2 linked regions of the Coturnix japonica genome follow. The protein of the gene in region 1 binds, or shares a complex with, the protein of each later gene. Links are inferred from orthologs where the notes say so. Each region holds a gene or a part of one and is shown on either strand. Other genes may lie near its edges.

Region 1 (6,639 bases):
TACAAGAGGCACCCAGGAGCACAGGCTCAAACTCTGAAGATTTCCTGGTTTCCCCCCTTAGAAAGGACCCAAACTTAAGCTTGCTGTTGGCAAGGTCACATATGTCCTCATAAGCTTTGCCCTTGGCACCTGCAAGTCAGGATGAATAATAAATCTCTCTGCTAAGCAAGTGATACATGAATATAATACTTTGATCGAGATGAGTAAACAGACTATTCAGACCAGCTAATTGAAATAACTCTTGCATTTTGGCTCATGGAAACTCATGAAGTTTGATAAACGACTCATTTTTAAACACATAACACCTGAATAATGGCCATTAAGTGAGGACGGGTACATTTAGATTAAACACACTGGGTAAGTCCCTGGAGAAGCTGCAGCAGAATTGCCTGTTAACAAAGCTGGAGACCACTTGTTTTCCTGGTTAATAATTGCTTGACAGCAGTAAAAACTGATGAAACAATATTATGCGTAACCGAAGAAAGGGAAGAAGGAGGCATTTCTGAGCACTCTGACAGCATGCAAGTTATTATCCACACCATTCTTCTAACCTTTTTGGGTGTATCATTCTCATCTGGAGTGGAATGAGCTGAGAAGATGCAAGAACTCTGGAAAATGATTCCCTGTGGGACAGCAGTATTTATGTTACCTTCTCCTTTTAGGGAAGGGGTGGCCGGCTGTCACTTTGTTGCATCCTCTCTGGCTCTGGCTTGTGGCGATGGCTGCCTGTTCACAGCAGCACGATGCACCGCCTGCTGCTGTAGGCACTGCTGCGGCCCAGTGCCAGCACTGATGTTCTAGCCACGATGCAGTAGCTGACTCCCAGCTTCAGATCTTCTATTTTGATCACCTTGTCTTTTCCTTCATACACCAGCACTCTGTGTTGCTTCAGACAGAGGGAGGAGAAACAGCTGGTCATGCATGTTGCCCTGGCAAGTGTGTCTATGACTAAGCTGGGAAGGATGGAGAGTTCAGAGCAACACATGCATTTGCATTAAGTCAACAACATTAGCTAGCATTAGTTATTTATGTGCCAGTTTTGGTGTTGTTTTCTTTTCTTTCTTGAGAAAAAAAAAGCCACCCCAAATTGCCGTAATTTCCCAACTGTTTCAACTAGGGCTTAGATTCTGAAATAGTACACCAATGGGAACAAAGAAAGTGGGGATGAATTACAGCCCAGTTCAATCAAATTCAATTCCTGAAAAATAAGCTTGCTTTGTGTTTAGATACTTACACGGGCATTTACACTCTTGCAATCCTAGAGGGCTGCTTCAGCTGTAAAAGGGAAGAGTGTGCCCATACTCTCTTGGCTTTCCAATGGTAAAGAGTTTATATCTGAATATGCACTTACCTCATCTAGCAAGTTGTTAATTATGAAAACTTGGTACTGAAGATCATAATAATTTGTCATTGGTATCGTGCTGCCTCTCTTCCTTCTATAAGCCGATCGTGGAGCCTGGAGCTTTATTTTTATGAATTTGTTGCTGTGAACCACCTTTATTGTTGGAGGTCCTATCATAGCTAGGGGTATAAACAAAGCTGTGAGCATGATTATAGCACGCTTATTAATAACGATGCACAGAACAGAATGCTTTGGATTTTTTGCCTTTGATTCTTTTTCTTCATTTTTTTTTTTTCTGCTGTCTTGAGCTGCAGAAATGTTTGAACCATTTCAGGTCAAGGACACAGCTTCAGTCATTCTTCTCAGAACTTGTGCAACCTGCTTGGTTAAACACAGCTGGGGTTTCACATGGTTCCTGTGTACCCCTGAAGGCAGCGGCTACCCCACATCTTCTTAGGAGGATGTGGTGCAGGGTAAGGTGAGCTGCTGCTGCAGCAAGATGCAGCTCTAGCTCAAAGCGTGCAGTCTTGCCTACACAGGACAAGTTATTTTGCACTTCAGAGCCATAGAGTGACCTGTGTTAGTATCTACACTTCAGTTTTACATTGATCAGAGGGGAAAAAAATGGATAATATATGGAAGTTTAGTGGTAGGTACACTGACACTGCTCGCTGTTCTAACAGTCCTGCAGTCCTGTGCACTATGGTCTTACAGTGGCTGTACTAACTAAAAGCTCTGTGCATGTCCTTTCTAAATACACCACTGTCAGGAAAATACATGTGAGAAAAACGCATGCATGTGAGAAAGCTGTAGGCTATGCAGCTGCCTTTTCTCTCCTCCCCTTTCCCTCTAGCAGAGAACATTTCCCTCTTCACACTGTGCTCAATCCTTCCAACAGCCCCTGAAACTGCTGTGAATATTTTACGGAGTTCCATGCCTTGAGGGAGAGGTTGAGTGGAAGGGAGCCAGGCATTTCTGGTCCCCTAATTGTACACAAGGATTGGTTCAAGTGTGGGAAAAGTTATTTTATCACAACACTTCCCCCGAGAGTTGTGGACACACGACTTCTTTCAGTACAGTTTTCTAGCTAGAAGGGTATCACTTTTGACAGCAGATTGGGAGCAAAAATGCTGTGCTCCACACTGCAGAAAACCCAGCCCCATGATCAGAGAGCACATGTGTTTGCACTTACTTTCTCGCCAGGGAGTGAATCTGCAGCTGAGGCTCCAGTCGGATTGCACACCATCCAAAGCAGCTTGTACCCTCCCATAGTAGGGCTCATAGGCATCAGAAGTCTCCTCCGTCAGGTCACAAAAATGGCTCTGAATCCCCCAGCACTCCTCTTTGTTTTGCCACTTGCTTTGCCCATACCTGTGAGGAAAGGAGGAGCAATTCAAGCCCCAGCTACTGCCAACCAGATCTATACAGACTTGTAACAGTCTGTTCCCCAAAGGAACCTAAGGCTCTTATCCTGTGAGGTGCTGGACCAGATGTGATGGGGACAGGAGCAGGCCTCCCTTATAGAGTAGGCCCCTCTGAGGAACAGGTCCCAGCACCACACCGTGTGGCACAGCAGTCCACTGAAGCCCTGACTGTGCTCCCACAAGGCTGACACTAAGGTGCCATGACGGTGTATGTCACGTTGCTAGGCACGCCTGACCTCCATGTCCTTCAGGCTGCTCAGCTGCACTTTACAGGCTTGTGATAAGTGCAGGGAGCTGGCAGCAGTGAAGGACAAGGCTGTGCCCCAGGTATCCTTTGGCAACTGAGAGATCCCTTTGGCTTGCCAAGCAGGGATGGGCTGCTGGATGAGGCATGCTGGACTTCCCCTGGCACTTACACTTTATACTGCACAAAGTAGAGCGTGGTTTCTCCCTCTCCAGCTCTCCCAGGCTGCCAGCGCAGGGTGTTGTTGAAGTTCAGTGAGTAAAACCATACCTCCCGTGGCTTGATTGCATCTCGCAGGTCTTGATTTTCCAGGACTAAAGTGGCTGCAAATAGTAAGAAACAGTGACAGCACACATTTCCCTCAGTCAGGCACCTCTGCATCCAGGCACACACTGCTCGTGTGGTTTCAGGCTAGCAGCCGGCGGGGAAGTTAAATCTGGGTCTCATGTTCCAAACTTTCCGTGTTGCAGTGAACAGATGTAGAAGTTACAGACCACAGCCAGGATTGTGAAAGGAACAAATGGTGTTGTTTTTTTCTTCTTCTTTTTCATCATTGAATTTACTGCCATGAAGGATGCCCAGTGGACAACCCAGTGGACAAACCCTTCTGATCAGCTCCCAGAGCATGCAGTACACAGCTGCGCCAGTAGTTAAAGGTAGGTGCTCTGTCCTTCCTATCTCAGACTTAGACTGCAGGGACTATAGTTTAACTATGGTATATAGTATATGGTCACTATGTTTTAGTGGTTACCATAGCTGCGTTTGTTGGTTCTTGCCTAATAAAATAGTATGACATTCGCTGCTTTTCCCATCTGAACTGACTGAAAAAGCTGTCTGACAGTTTTCAAGATAAGCTGCTTCCAAACTGAGACAGATCCAGGTGACAGAATCAGTTAACATGCACTGAAGCATCGAAATCCTAACAGACTTCTGGATTTCATGACCCAGCTGACTTCATATACCTGCAGTTTTATCTGTGGTATATCTCACAACCAGAGATTCCTGCAAACTGAGCTGAAGCCGGTAACAGAACTGTAAGTAAATGCGATGAACGTTACACTCATTTTAGCTGCATTTTGAAAAACAAAATGAAACTAATTTGGAAATGACAGGACTTATGAAACCAGCCTCTGTATCCAGAGTTTTCCTGATTTGCCCAGCTTTGAGAGCAGACCCAGCACACACCACCACCCCTACACCCTCCAGGTGGGAAGAGAATTGAAAGCCTTTACTTACTGCTTATCTTGTCCTGCAGCAGGTGCATCAGAAAGCAGAGGGAGGAAAGCCTGATCCCCCTCATGCTTAGGAGAGCAGCTCCATGACTGAGAGCATCTCTTTTCCTCTTGGGCATGTCTTATGAGGAAGTAATTATTAAAGTGACTTCCCTATTTATAAATTCCCTGTTGTGGCTAGGTGGGAAATATATTAGTTGTTCTAAATTAAACGTAAGCAATCGCTCTTACTTGGAAGCTTCACTCACTCTGAAGTTTGGAACTAATTATGAAACAAACCAATGAGAAAAATGTGCTTTTTTCAGGGACTAATTCCCAAATGTCTGGCAATATTGCTTTATCCCAAAAATATGTCACACAAACTTGCCTCTTTGCTCTGCTATGATATTGTTTTTCAGCTTGCCAGTCACTCAGTGCCGCAGAACACAAAATCTTGCTGCAATAGCACAAAACAGTAATGGGATGTAATCTGGGTGGCCTGTCTTGGGGTTGAACACAACAATGAAGGCTGTCGAAACATTCAGTGGAGGATGCCATGTAGGAACATGTCATCAGGGGGACATGGGGACATGAAACTGCTGCACTTATTGCTGGGTGGTTGGAGGCTGCAGCTGGCTGAGCTCAGCCCACTGGTCAAAGTGCCACTGCCTATCTGACACTGTATGCACCAAAGCAACTCTGAATGCTGTACCACTGGTATGTGCATCCCATGGTCCCAAAACGGGCTGCTGGGCTTGCGATAAAGTGATCTCACTCTGTGCTGGTAGATGTTTTATTGCTGTGTGTGCCAGCCTGCAGGGGGCCAGTTGTTGCCCGGTGGGTGGTATGGAGAGCTTGGTCATGCTGAGTGCTGGCACACTGGGTATCCCAGCATGAGCCGGGTGCCCTCATCTCCTGCACGCCCACATCAGTGGGCAAGAAGAGACAACCCAACTGTGCACAGTGTGGAGCAGCACACAATAGTAATGCCCACCGATAAATAACCAGTGTGGAAACTGCTTGGTTGCAGGAAAAGGGCATCTCTGTCTGCAGAAACAAAAACTTACCTAATCCCTCATCTTGGCTTTGGGAAAAAGGCAGAAGCAAATGTTGCCAGAATGAAATAAAAAGTGTAAGTTATTGTGCAAACTAAGGTGTTTTTTTCATCAAAAGGCATTCGGTTGCGGTAGGCAAATTAAATACAACCTAATCAAGAATCTGGCCTTGGTGACATCAACTGAGCACATGCACATTATAGTGCGAGCACTGAATTTGCAGCGGGCACATTAAAACTGCAGGTGTGTAACTGTGAATGGCTACTTACCACAGTATGGGATTAGCTGGGAAGGAATGCAGAAGAAAATCAAGGTAGAAGGTAGAGAGGCAATTTTGGCATTGCCTTCTGGGATTTTTTTATCTCCATTTCCCAAACACATTTTCAAAATTCAATGACTTTAAGAATTTCCCCTCCACACACACAATGAGTATTTCATCACGTTATACGAGCTCAAGTGCGGGAATAGGGGATTTTTATGAACTGATCACTGAGCTGAAATGCCATCAAATTTTAGTCACGCCTGTCACAGGTTGTGGTTGTGTATTTACTTACTTGAATTGTATCAACACACCTTATCGGGACCCAAGTGCGGAGCTTTGCTGGAATCATTGCCGGCACCAGGTTCTCCCACGACAGCAAAACCTCCCAGAGCTGGGATTGGGTGGCTGCATGACTGGGGCCAGGAAGGCTGCCCCTTTGCTTCTCCCTTCCAAATACTTGCAAATTGCTGTGGCTAAATGGGGAAAGAAACACCTGGATCGTGGAAAAGATCAGGGCTTCTCACACAGCACCAATAGTGCTTGTTCTGTAATTGGGCCTGGCAATGTGATGCAATCTCTTCACATAATTTCACCATTTTTGAAACACCCGCTGATAATCCCCATGTTTTTAGCATCTGTAACATTTTCTTTCTCATTATCTTCAATCATGTCTCCCCAGTGCTCTTTGCAACAAAAGCAATTACATTCTGGTGAGTGGCAGCTGCACACACCCATATAGACGTACTTGTCTTGAGTGCAATGCATCTATAGCACTTTTAAATAAATGGGAACACTTAAGAAACAGTATTGCTTAAGAATACTTCTAATGGAACTCACGAAGAAATGGAAAACGAAAGCGTTCCTTTCCCCAGCAGCATCCATGTTAGTGCTTACTTACACTGTAGCATTTGCTTTGACCCAAGCCTTTGTGACAGGGCAGTCCTGATGCTTCTGTGAACAGACAGAGCTGAGAGCACAAGAATTTTTTCATTCCTGGAATAAAAAGCTCTCTAAATACTGGGCAAATTAAGTTCTTCCTCTTAAAGTCTGGCTATTGCCACACAGAGGTGAAAGCTGAGTACCTTCTTGCTGGAAGCTGCC
Region 2 (6,488 bases), on another chromosome or scaffold:
TACCTGCCATCCTTCACACATCCACAAGCCACATGTGTCCTGCAAGAAGAACTTAGTAGGACATTCTGCCTATCCTGCTGCATGACATTTTCAGGGCTCCAGCTCATTAGGTTTCCACTGTAGAATCTTTTAGCTGGTTGTTTTCAAGATTAGAGAAGTTAATAAATAGATGAATGACTGTCTCTAGCACTTGTGGACAAATGGTTTGTTTAGGTTTAGCCAGAACATGGAAAGCTCAAGAGATGCATCTGACATTTCTGGGTAGGGCAGCTTAAAAAAAGGACAATGTAGAAGGGGAACAGAAAAAGTAGAAAAAAGAAGGAAGTTAATCATCCATTGGTAAAGAGATTATATCAGTGAGCAATAGTGCAAGTAGTTCTTGGTCTAGTCTTTCTAAACAAGGAAGAAGACAAGCATTTCTAGAACAATTCCACCTCATTCCACCGCATTATCTTTATAAACTTCAGTGGAGTTCAAACAAATCACACCTGGATAATTCTTTTTACTTTCCTTCATCTGTAAAGGGAGACAAGTGTATCTCTGGGAGAAGGTCATCGATAGTCAGTGAGATGAATTCCCTAATTTGTGTTTAGCTTTGCTCTCTTTGCTGTCAGCTGTTGCAAGTTTGAATGATAAAGTATGTCAGCCAAGAACTCATGACAATATAATTTCTTATGTCACTAGTAAGAAAATAAATATACTTTTCAATATAGTATAAGTTTAATTCCCTAAATGGATGGTTGCTTTTGTCTTGAAATCTCTCTGGATCACAGTCAACAAGGCATAGTTTAATACTGCTTTAATGCTAATTCATTACAGTACCTGATGTAAGACATTGCAACTACAACTGGATTAGTTTTGATTTCTCTTTGAGTAACTGAGGAAGCTACACAGGCAGAAATATTTTCCTGTCAGTGTTTATAGCACATCACAATACCCAGTCATGAGGAGTCTTTAAGATGCCTCCTTAGCACACTTTTTTCTTTCACTATTTGGACACTTTTTGACCTCTTTAACCTTCATGCAGCCACTTATGATCCTGGGTGTACCAGAGCAACTCGTCTGTCTTTGCCCAGGGGATGCTGCTGAAGGAACTGATAATGACACCAAGCTCTCTTCTGAACACTCCCAAATCCATGGTGCTGCTGAGCACTCCTTTGTCTTAGCACTACGGGTCAGTGAGTTTTCATGTAGTTCCTGCTACTTGTCCATTTATCTCTGTCTCATCTGACTCGGGAGGACAGTCTGAAACTTTCTGCCAGTGGCCATTCAAGATAGGACCTTACCTAAGGAGAACTACTCAGGCAGAATGAGTGAACCACACCAAAGATTCTCAGAAGTGCTATTTTTCCAGCATCTCCCCACGAGAAAAGCTGATCCACACACTCTCCACAAAACCCTGTCCTGTGGTAAGCTGAAACTTCAGATTTAATGAAGAATCCTGTCCCCAGAATGAGTTTGCATCCTTTCTGGATACAAGAATACAGCCACTCAGCCCAGCAGCCCCCCAGGCATGATACGTCACCTCCCTTGCTTTTCAGTAAAAGAGAAAAGCTCTATGAGACGGCAGTATTTGAAAACCAATATCTCTTTATTATAATAAATTAAAAAATAAGCATTTATGAAACAATCCATCTGCATATAAATATTACACAGCAGTTTTAATTTTACAGTTCATTCTGAAGCTTCTGGTCTCCATAAATACATCCCTGTGGCTATGTTTTAATTAATCTGTATAAATACAAGTACAGTATAATTACTACAAAATTATTACCTTAAAATAAGTTACCATTAAATATGAGCAACAAAACTAATTTCTGAATGTCTAAAGTTCCAGCTTTTCAGGTAAAGGTCAGAAGAGGGCAACATACACAAGAGAGATTTTGAAGTCAAAGGCTGAAAACTCCCTGGCTACAGAGCACTGCCTACCTTGGCCAAAGCTGACTCAGAGGTGTCAAATCTCAGCCTATGAAATACAGAAAGAGTTGTCTTATTCCAGAGCGGATGAGCAGGATAGGAGCATGCCTTTGAAAACAACCAGTGTGCAACAGTGAAGTGGAGCCACAAACGCTGTTCTGCCGACTTCATTTTCCAGGCAGGCAGCAATATGCTTCCATCTGTGCCCACCTGATTTGCTATTTCTGGTACAGACTGAAAAGTGTGCTGCAGCTACCGGCAGGATTTTTTGCACAGTAGTTAATCAATGTAGTAAGAGCTCTGGGAGATATTCCATCAAGACTAATCTGACTGGTTTTTCTTTTCAGTTTTTCTTCTTGTTCCCTCCCTTCTTTGGGGCATCAGTACAAGCATTTTCTATGTAGTCAAACAGTAAATCCAGTTCTCCGATGGCTTTGTTCTTTCCATTCTCTCCCAACTAGAAAAGAGCAGAACACTGGTCTTAACATCCCTCCATTTCTCAGAAGACTTAAATTAGGCTTGTCACAGAAACTGCACTGAGAACTTACTCTCCTCTTTCTCACAAGTAGTTCTGTTAAAGTCAATATATCATCAAATATAAACTAGCTCATTCAAATCCAGTCTAGTATACGCAGTAGCTCGCAGCTCAATTTCTAAGGGCTAGTTACTATAAGATATGCAGAGAGTTAACAGTACACATGAAGGAACTCTGGAAGTGGAAACACCACTCGTCTCCTCTTTAATGCCCCTGCAAACTTCACCTTTTATATAAATTCCAGAGCTCGCTTCATGACTCTGTCAGCTTTACTTTAGTTAAACAACTGGAGTTTTGAACGGCACTTCTTAAAAACAGAGAAAGAATATACCTCTTTCATTTTGCTCTTCATCTCTTCCAGGTTCTTTTCAATATGTTCTCTGTTTCCTGAGTGTTTCTAAAGAAAGAAAATATCCAGAGGTAACATTGACAGATGCATGTGACAATATGCTGCTTTTCTTTTTGTTTTCTTTTTTTTTTTTTTTCCCCTTTTTCACACGTTTCTATCAACCTCCAGTTTGATATCTTAGATCTGAGGTTTCCTTTCATATCACTGTCTCTTGCCACTATTTGCAGATTTCTGAGATTCAGGAGCAGTGACAAGAATCACAGCCAAGGGAAAGAAAATCAACACTACTTACACATCTGCTCAGCTCCGAGATCAGGGATGCCAGGAACTGTGCCACATCCTCAGCATATGGGTACCGCTCCTTGGCCTCTGTGAGGACGTCCTTCACTATAATCTCTGCAATCCTCTTCATCACGTAGCAGCGGTTGTTCTCCTATGTGTTTAAATAAGAGGTCATGTTAAATTGTGGGAAGAGGCCAACAAGTGCTGCAGAACAACATGGGGATCTGTCTTTAGCTGGAAGACTCACCCTGATGTTGACATAGATTTTCTGACCGATGAGTCTATTGTCAGTGTCCTGATCTGAGACCCTGGCCTGAGGGGGAAAAAAGGAAATGTCAGGTGAGGATGGGAGACTTACCTAAAAATTAACAGTGAACCCTGAGGTTTCACCAATAACAGTTCCAGTGACAAAAAGAAATGGACACTGTAAGCAGGTAGGTAAGGTACAGGAAGGTAAGCTTGGAAAATTCAGCTGTTTCTTTCCACAACTGCATAAGAATCAAGGTCACAGGAAAGTAAATATGCAGAAATCTGAATTCCTGTCCCTCTTGTAAACATCGGAGGTCGTAGTGGTTATGATGACTAAACCAGAACCTGCGGGTAGCCATCCTCAGCATCTCCCACAGTGCTGCATCATCTCCCACAGCGCTGCATTGCAGCCCTCGATGCAGTATGTGGGGGGAGATCCACACATGATAGAGATGGTCAAGAAACCTGTCCAGGCACAGAGCTGAAAAGCCAACATGCCCAGCTCTGAGAACAAGAGTAATTTAAGATCATATCTCACAATTGTCCCTGTGTAGCAGCAGCCGCTCCAGAGGAGCTGAGCAGCTTCCCTTGGCCACAGCACCAGTGGGCAATGGGACTATTCCACACATCAACCTCTGTCCCACTGCAAATGTTTTTGTTTTCTGTATGAGTGCAGAAGAAAGAGAGATAAATGATGAAGGCAAGAAACCAGGGCACTGGCAGGGAAGGAGGTCCTCACATCTTGCCATGAAGGGAAAGTGAGTTATCATACCATTTCAGCCAAGGTGTAGGTGCGATTCCTGATGTAGGGCTGCTGGAAGTTGGTTTTCCTTAGCCTGCAGGCTTGATGGGCATTGGAAACCATCCCTATCCCTTTTGGAGGCAGAGGGCTGGTGAGAAGAAGGGGGAAACAGCAACAGCAGCAGAAGACGACCCATCCCGAGAAACTCCTGGTCAGGGTGTGCAGGGTGGCCATGGCTCACGTCCGTCCCAAGGGCTGTAGTTACAGCACTCAGCACTGATGAGAGAAAGCAGTGTTAGCAGTGGGGAGAGTGAGCAAGGGCAAAGGGAGAGAGGCAGAACGGCTGCAAGCCTTACCTTTGCTGTGATTCTCAATGTGCTGTGAAGGAGGTGAGGTGTGCCTTATATAGGGACATCAACATCCCTCTCAGCTTTTTTTGGGGGGAGTATTGGTGGTGAATTAAAAATGACATCAGCAAGTCTCTTACTTTCCTGTATCTTCTTCTGAGAACTTCCTAACCACTACAAAACCCACAAATACAACTTCAAGGCAATTGTAACCTTCAGGTTCTTATAAAGTAAACCAATTTTTAATGCAGGGACAAAGCGGGGGCTTTTACTGGGACTGTGATCCTGAATCCTTTTCTCATAAAAACATCTAAGAAGTTCATAGATTTGTGCCTTCTGTCCCAATTGTGCCATACTAACTGCATTGGTAATTTGATGGCAAATAACATCATATGTATTAATTTATATTCGTCTTCTGTTGTATAAGACTAGTGACCCACTGGAGATGATGAAGGTACACAGATGGTCAGAGATTGCTCCAGACCTAGACCACTCTGACCAGCTCTGGTTCTCACCTCAAAAAATCCCTTCCCACACTGGGCTGCACTGGAGCCATGGGCTATCTGCCCATCAGTGTTCATTTCTCTCTGGGACATCAGAAACTGTATAGGACCAACAATGAATTTCTCACATCCCTCATCCTCACACTCCCATTTTCCAAACAATGATCCATATTTTAGGCTGTAACCAGGGGTAATAGCCAGAGCCGAGGCCACACACTTACATTTTATCTTCTTCTGACACATTCACATCCTTCAATTCTCCATGTTTCTGTCACCCCAATTGCCTCCTATCTCATCTCTGTGTGGCTCTGAAGCCTCTGGAGCTGCACCTACTCACCCTGAAGCCACTTCCAGCAGAGCCACCATCACCACGACCCTTTCCATGACTCACATGTATGCCACCCATTCTCATGCCTGGCCTTCAACAGCAAGCCTGGGTTCAGGATGCTGACCACACAGTTCATATCCCAAATGTACCACAAGACTATTCAAGAACATGTTTATAAACTCTTTTCTGTGAATTTATTTGCCAGGTGAATAAGAAGATGGGAGGGTGCATTACAGGTAGACAAAAACAGGCAGTGAAGAACAAACTGGGAGAAATACAGGCAGAGTCTGTTTCAAAGTGTTGGCCTTCTCTGAAGTGCACTCCCATGAATTCCTCTTCAAGGGCTAACAGCCTGATAACCACCACCTGCTTTGAATTTTAAGCTAGGTTTCTCTTACTTCTCTACCAGCTCATCCAGCAGTTTAGATGTCCCAAGCCCAGAACAAAAGCCGTGAACAGGTATTCTGACCCTTTCCAAGGGGAGCAATAGCCCCTGTCTTGCCCCAGATCCTGTCCTCCTGAGCTTCTAGACCCCACCTCCCATCACACACTCTCACTTGACTCAGTTCCAGTTTTGCCTGACCTCTTCTCATAACATGGAAAGTGTTTGTGGCCTGTGTATGCACACGCTGCCCAAATTGTGGTGAGGAGACCACATGGTCTCAGGATTCCCATACTGATGGATATCTAAATATCATCAGGCATATGGATGAGGAATTAGATGCTGAATCTTCCTCCTGCCCTCTTTTATGCAGTGATTACAGGATCTCTTCTATCTGGCTTCTCTAGTATTTGCGAATCATAGACTTGGATGTATATATTTTCATAGGAAGCGTTAAGTCATACTTCATGAGCCTCTCTCCCATTTATGCTGTCAGAAATCTCTTTCAGCTGTGCGTCATTGGCTGTGCCATGCTGTCTTCCTTCCGAGGCTTGCAAAATGTCCTTATTTCATTTGTTTGCTTTATCTCTGCTGCTCATACTTTTATTTTCCAGGCATCAAAAGGACAATTTTCAGTTTTAATTAATTCTTACTTCACGAATTTCCTTTTTATGATGTTTGTAAAGCCTTTGCATTACTTAATCTTTTGCTGGCCATTGTGAGTTATAACAACATTGTCTCCCTTTTTTAGCTTGCTGTGAATACAGCCAAGTCCAAAAATGAAAGTTCAGAGTCTTTCTGGACACAAAGTTTAGCAGTTCAACATGTTCTTCTTGCACATCAGTCCACACCTG

The links.
Region 2: the proteins of IL22RA2 (region 1) and IL22 are in contact, whole or in part, in a crystal structure (PDB 3G9V), measured with the Homo sapiens proteins. The link is inferred for Coturnix japonica from reciprocal best matches to the Homo sapiens genes IL22RA2 and IL22. Residues at the interface, in NP_443194.1 of Homo sapiens: Lys65, Ile66, Tyr99, Gly100, Gln101, Arg102, Trp104, Gln128, Glu129, Pro130, Tyr132, Met148, Pro150, Arg151, Thr153, Trp155, Trp156, Glu157, Glu200, Pro246, Met247, Leu248, Asp249, Arg250; in NP_065386.1 of Homo sapiens: Phe47, Gln48, Pro50, Thr53, Asn54, Phe57, Met58, Lys61, Ser64, Leu65, Asp67, Asn69, Thr70, Asp71, Val72, Arg73, Leu74, Lys162, Gly165, Glu166, Asp168, Leu169, Met172, Arg175, Asn176.

What each region holds. Positions count from the first base shown.
Region 1 is NC_029518.1:49,589,939-49,596,577, reverse strand, and holds the start of IL22RA2 (interleukin-22 receptor subunit alpha-2), read right to left. Parts: upstream 4,585-6,639; 5' UTR 4,362-4,584; coding exon 4,247-4,361; intron 3,334-4,246; coding exon 3,183-3,333; intron 2,714-3,182; coding exon 2,535-2,713; intron 1,522-2,534; coding exon 1,352-1,521; intron 887-1,351; coding exon 731-886; 3' UTR 1-730. UniProt on the Homo sapiens protein: Isoform 2 is a receptor for IL22. Binds to IL22, prevents interaction with the functional IL-22R complex and blocks the activity of IL22 (in vitro). May play an important role as an IL22 antagonist in the regulation of inflammatory responses.
Region 2 is NC_029516.1:31,853,505-31,859,992, forward strand, and holds IL22 (interleukin-22), read right to left. Parts: upstream 4,347-6,488; 5' UTR 4,309-4,346; coding exon 4,105-4,308; intron 3,397-4,104; coding exon 3,331-3,396; intron 3,235-3,330; coding exon 3,094-3,234; intron 2,850-3,093; coding exon 2,784-2,849; intron 2,375-2,783; coding exon 2,261-2,374; 3' UTR 1,594-2,260; downstream 1-1,593. UniProt on the Homo sapiens protein: Cytokine that plays a critical role in modulating tissue responses during inflammation. Plays an essential role in the regeneration of epithelial cells to maintain barrier function after injury and for the prevention of further tissue damage.